Drosophila melanogaster: one gene and its partner. Each later gene encodes a partner of the first gene's protein in a complex. Each region holds a gene or a part of one and is shown in the gene's direction. Other genes may lie near its edges.

Evidence for each region. The genes of interacting proteins can lie anywhere in the genome.
Region 2: msd1 (region 1) and wac share a complex: the UniProt entries of both Drosophila melanogaster proteins name them as parts of the augmin complex.

Annotation. Positions count from the first base shown.
Region 1 is NT_037436.4:1,329,889-1,332,855, forward strand, and holds msd1 (mitotic spindle density 1), read left to right. Parts: upstream 1-1,855; 5' UTR 1,856-1,893; coding exon 1,894-1,930; intron 1,931-1,985; coding exon 1,986-2,365; 3' UTR 2,366-2,438; downstream 2,439-2,967. Other genes in the region: ND-ACP (NADH dehydrogenase (ubiquinone) acyl carrier protein), read left to right, coding at 253-402, 975-1,061, 1,154-1,282, 1,392-1,571; msd5 (mitotic spindle density 5), read right to left, coding at 2,464-2,967. UniProt on the Drosophila melanogaster protein: As part of the augmin complex, plays a role in centrosome-independent generation of spindle microtubules.
Region 2 is NT_037436.4:256,419-259,597, forward strand, and holds wac (wee augmin), read left to right. Parts: upstream 1-1,757; 5' UTR 1,758-1,973; coding exon 1,974-1,977; intron 1,978-1,987; exon of another isoform or gene 1,988-2,032; coding exon 2,033-2,345; intron 2,346-2,404; coding exon 2,405-2,579; 3' UTR 2,580-2,679; downstream 2,680-3,179. Other genes in the region: DIP2 (DISCO interacting protein 2), read right to left, coding at 1-175, 231-638, 712-783, 1,135-1,207; Tudor-SN (tudor staphylococcal nuclease), read right to left, coding at 3,085-3,179. UniProt on the Drosophila melanogaster protein: As part of the augmin complex, plays a role in centrosome-independent generation of spindle microtubules.

The DNA of each region.
Region 1 (2,967 bases):
AGTTGGGAAAGTTACTTACTCATTATTCAAGTATTAAGTATTTTTAGTATTTATTTGCGTAAGTTGAGAAACAGCTTAGTACATTGCGCATACGGTCACACTGCTACCTTGCTGTCTTTTTCTTGCTCCAGCACTTTTACATAATCTTGAAAACTCAGCGTAAATATCGCCCAAAATACGAGACCTGCACTCGTGCACCGTCTGCAGAGATGCGATACTAACCCGCTGCGTTTCCGTTGCAGGAGAACCGAGATGTCGTTCACACAGATCGCGCGCAGCTGCAGTCGACTGGCGGCCACTTTGGCCCCAAGGAGGGTCGCCTCCGGCATTCTCATCCAATCACAGGCCTCCAGGATGATGCACAGGATCGCCGTGCCATCGATGACCAGCCAGTTGAGCCAAGTAAGCGAACGTCCAAAGCGGTCCCTTCCGTTGCAGGAGCCCCAATCGCAGTTGAGGACCTAACCTCATCGCAAACGGCGGGGTTTCGTGATCTACGAGTTTCAAAACATTCAATTAAGTGCTTGCAATCATGAACGCAACAGAAGATCCTCGCCATGTGGCCGTCGAACCACCCAATTCGATTGCATCACATTATTTTGCATAAAACATGATTGTTTCCCTATCGCACACACACACACATACACCTGCAACACCGGTGCTCGCACTTGTGTGCGGTTGATTGTACTACAGTGAAAATCCTCTAGAAGTGACCTTAAAATGTAGCGGTTTTAAAACATGTGATTTCAGTTTGTTAAATATCTAAATATGTTTCCACGCCAATCCAAGCAATAGTTTTCGCGGTATTTAATCAGTTGATCATACACCATCGAACCACCCTCGTTTAAATTGCGTATATATTTACACTGCTCATTGAAGAATTAGCTAAGTTGTATGCACCATAAGTCGTAGATGAACTACCAATGCAATTATTCATATAGAGACGAAAATTCACTAGACATTAACATTCGCAGAAGTTCGGTGTGCGCAGCTACTCGGCCAAGAGCACCATCGAGGACATCAAGTTCCGCGTGCTAAAGGTTGTCTCCGCCTACGACAAAGTGACCGCCGAAAAGGTAAAGTACCCATTGCATGGCGCCACTAATCCGGTCTTTGTTTCCTTCCTTTTTTTCTCGGGCCGGCCAAAAACCAGGAGTGCCGTGGTCGCTGGCAAACGCAATTGGTGCGCAGATACTCGGCGAAACCGCCGCTCTCGCTGAAGCTGATCAATGAGCGCGTCTTGCTTGTGCTCAAGCTCTACGACAAGATCGATCCCAGCAAGGTAAACGCCACATATTGCCTTTGCCAGTGCAATGGTCGCCTCAGAAATCAGAACTGAACAAAGCTGATGAAACCTTTGAATACCCAATGCTAATGGCTCGCATTTACAGCTCAACGTTGAGTCGCACTTCATCAACGACTTGGGACTGGATTCCTTGGACCACGTGGAGGTCATCATGGCCATGGAGGACGAGTTCGGTTTCGAGATCCCCGACTCTGATGCCGAGAAGCTGCTTAAACCTGCCGACATTATTAAGTACGTCGCCGACAAGGAGGATGTGTACGAGTAAATTGTAATTGTAATGCAAGCCATTGAACGGATTACACTTAAATTTAAATAGAAAACAAGTCAAATACAATTTGATCAACTGAATAAACCAAACGTTAAATTAACTTGTAGTCAGCAATTGTACACGAGGGCTATAATTAACTGCGGAATAGCAGCTAATAAATTAACTATCCAAATAAATAAACGAGTCATTTAGTACTGGCGGTTAAATTTAAATTTCGATAGAAACGTTGGTCTTTCGATTGTTTTAGAAAGCCTTGTGTATTTTAGATACGCAGCGACGGTCACGTTAATCTGCTAGCATTACAAACAGAATATTCGAAATGTCAGACGCTGTGGACAAAATGTTGGCGGGAATGGGTAAATATATCTTTAAACCACCGACACGCGTTCTATTCCGTGCTTCCAATTTCAGCGGCCAATCGGCAGACCATGAACCGCCAGCTGGCTAAGATAGACGAGATAATGGAGCGGTCGAACAACACATTGCTCCACATCGAGTCCAACAGCAAGGCATTCAGTCAGAATGTGGCTTTGTCGGAGACCCAGAAGATGTACAACCTCAGGCCGGAGGCTGAGATGACCCTGTCCAAGATCCTGGAGAACTTCAAGCTGCTCATGTCTAGCAGTGACCAGCGGGAGGAGACATACAGCGCTCTGGAGGGCTGCCTGGCCTACAGGCATCGCGTGGAGCACCTTGGCAGCTCCGTGCGTAAGCTGGTGGCGCTCTACGACACCGTGGGCCAGATGAAGAACTCACAGGAAGAGCAGTATGCCAGCGAGGATTCCCCCTAGCTCATCCATTTTTAGAATTTATTATTATGTTATAGTTGAAAAATAATTTAAATAAATTAAACATTTGATTTGTATTTAAAGCTCTTTAAGCGAGGTTTTCAAATCATGGCCATATTGTAGCTGCTGACTTGGAGAAGCGTATAGGTAAGCACCTCTACGAACATCTCCAGGCGAGCGGCAAGACTCCCGGTGGCGAGTATCTCATTGGGATTGGGCAGCTGGAGGCTGTTGGAGCGCAGGTAGTTGAGCTGTTCCATATTGGCGGCTATGGTCAGAAGCTTCTCCTGCTGCTCGGATGTAAAAGCATCTGGCGGAGACTCACCGCCGGTTGGCATGAGCTTTTCCAGCTGCTGCGCAAATCCATGGAGCTGCGTCAGCTTCTGCTTGTATATGGATTCTGTGGTGTCCAGAGCGGCTGCCTCGTCGTAGATCTTGGCCAGCTTTCGCTGGAAACCCTTAAAATCATTGTACACGTCCACGGCACTGCGCTGCTCCTCCAGACGCGTCAGACTCAGCGAAACGTTGGATGTGTTGATGCCCATGGCCACCGACTCGTCTGCTCCTCGCAGGAGCGTTGAGTTGGTACGTTGTAGCTCCCGCTT
Region 2 (3,179 bases), 1.1 Mb from region 1:
TCGGGGGAAATTGTCTCCTCGGGTATGGATTCGTCATCCGTCGATGAGTCCAGCTCATCATTGCACCCAGGGCTTCGGTTTAATACAGATGTGCGCTTCGATGGCATTGGAAGGCTGGGTTTTGGCCGTCCCTTAAGAGCTGCAAGGGCCTGTTGCACAGCCTCTTGTCGTACTTCTAGGGGTCAGATGATCAGAGATAAAATGTTGTTGCTGTAACTTGTTCTACTAACCAGAATGATAACGTTTCTCATTGTGCGTTACTTTGCGCTGTGTGCGTCGTTGACGATGCTGACTATTATTAGTTGACTGTTGGTTCTGAAAAGCACTTGGTTCGCGAGTGTTCTGATACCCGGGATCGCCGACTGCTCCACCCTGCGGTCGCATATTTTCGTAGCCAGGAGCCCCAGCATTTCCGCTCTGTGGTGCCGATGACAAGCTCATGGCGGCTTGCTGATGGAAGTCAATTTTTTTGGAATGTCTTTGCTGCGAGGAGGACAGGGAGGGCACTTCAGTCACATAACTGTAGCCCTCGCTGGACACAATGACGCCGTCGTTATTGATGTTTCCGTGGTTGGTGCTGTTGTTGGCATTTTTAACGTTGTAGTATGGCGGTGGCGGCGTACTTTTCACTTTATCGCCTGTTCACAACAAAAGGATCAAGAACTTTCTGGTGACGACCAAACGACCAAATATCAATGTTTTCGAACATACCTTCTGGCTTCTTTAGGAACGGCTGCAACAGCTTCGCCCTTTTCTTTTCGTAGCCTTTCTGCGTAATGTCACCTAGAAAAGCAGATGGAATTGTTTTCTTAACGATTAATATGTCCGCTGGGCCTCGTCGTTTTTTGAAAAGCGTGGAGTAGCGACTGAATCATGTATTCATGCTGAAAGCCACACAACACAACACACACACTTTTCTTTTAATTGGTCGGTCCCCGACTATATGTGGGCAGCTTTCAGCGAAAGAAAAGCCGAGAACAGCACTTGTAATCCCATTTGGGGGCGACAAGTATCCAATGATTTGAATCAGACCAGACTACGTCTGCCACAGTTTTCACGCGATTTTCTACAACTCAGTCGCCGCACTTTAACAACAATATTTTATTTTTGTGTGTATTATTCAAATAGGTATACCTTCCGACAGCTCTAAGTCCAGTTCGGCGAGCTTCTCGCGGACGTAGCCAGGCAGCGAGGCAGTGTGCTCCATGGCAGATGAAAAGTGTGGCTTTAGGGTTTTGTTCTATCCTCTTCCTTGGAGGATTCGTCTAAACTTTGGCTGGTCGCAGTACACAAACACACCCAGACACCGCTACTTTCCCACTTCGTTGTCAAAAATCGATCGATTTGCCATTTATTCTATTTCACATTTTGCCGACGCAAATAAATACATCCGTACTTGCGCAGCACCAGTACTTTGGGTTAGTTAGAAAACACGATATTACGAATGTCTTTTACGAATTTGCACAATGAAAGTAAACAAAGAAAAATAGCAGTACAAATCGATTTTATGAACTAGCGAAAAATTGATAACTATTTCTTCATACTCTTGGGACAACGGCCTTTTTCAATTTTCGAGATGCGGTCACACTGCCCAAGTAATCGAACCACGAATTTAAGTGTTATTTTTAATGATATTAGGCATAGAACCATTACAATTAAAAAGCTCTATTATTTATTACTTTAATCGCTTGTCTCTTAAAATTCGATTCAACAAAAGCAATTGGTGGCATTTTGCTAGGTAGCCCTGAAATACTGTAGAGACTATCGATATCTGCACCTAAGGCGCCTATTATCACATTCGGATTACGAAGACAAAGACATGCGAAACCTGGATACGATTAGTGGCGAAGAAAAGCAAAGTCCTGCCAACTTAGTCTAAATTGTTTCTAAGCCGGCTGCCTATACGCCTGCGTTTTGAGCAAAGCGGTAGTATCTTTTTCGGAACCATCGATAGCTTGTCATCTCCAGTAAAAATGCGTGAGTTTATTTAAAAAAAACGCTAGGCATACAACTAATTATTCTTATGATGCAGAGAACTTGAAGATCCAAGAGGAAGTCAATTCATTGATGCGTCTAGGCCAGCACTTCGATGACCAGTTAAAGCTGGCTAGCGTCGAGTTGGGCGATTTCTCGGACGATGACCTGGCGCTCCTTGACAAATGCGCCCAATATTATTCACTTTTGCACATTCACGACATCAATCTGAACTACTTGCGCGACTTCTATTGTGCCAAGAAGAGGGAATGCATAGAAAACCGGCAGACCACAGTGCAGCAACGCGTAGAGCTGCAGCGCATCCTCTCGTCCATCGAGGAGGCGACTAGGGACGTAGTTATGTTGGAGAGGTATTGGTGAACAAATCCCTTTAATAGTTGAATCCCTGACCAAAACCATTCTTCTGCAGATTTAATGCTGCTGCGGAAGAGCGGCTCATCCCGGATATCGTCGTAATGCAGCGAAACGCCCAACAGCTTGCAACAAAACAGGCCTTACTGGACCGGCAAAAAACCCTTAAGATCCCAAAGGATTTTAGCATTGAAAGTGTCATCGAGAAGGTAGATTCGCTGGAGCAGCGCTAAAGAAGTGAATTGCTTTCGTTTTTAAAAAATTATTTAATTGTATTTACTCAGTAATGCAAAACACTTTACAAAAACATAAAATCTGCAAATTTTAAAGATGAATGTTGAGGTTTACAACTTGGAACACTACACAATCAGAGGGTGCACTTATTTTGGTTATTGTACGCATTTTAAAAACGTTCCAATTGTTGCTAGGTTGTGTCAAATATTTATTTAAAGTATCATGATAGGAAAACTAGAAGACCAAATAATAATTTGCCAGCTGCTTAAAGCATACAAAAAGTGTACCGTGTTCTTCCATGCCATTGCTCATATGTATGTATTTGTGTATTTCCAATGTGGTATATGTATCATATATATTGGTGTATAGATAGAATTAGTAATTTCATATTCTTTAAGTTCTTGCTTGTTGTTATGTATATAAAGGGCGGGTATGTGGCAGACAATCTTTTCGGCTAGCAACGCGCTCCACGCCACAGGCCTACTCCACGTTTCCGGGCATCTTTTAGCGGAACTCGGGCGCATCATCTTGCGTTATGTCACCGTACTTCCAGATGGCCAGATGCGCGACCCGAGCTGCTTCCTGCGCGGCTTTGTACT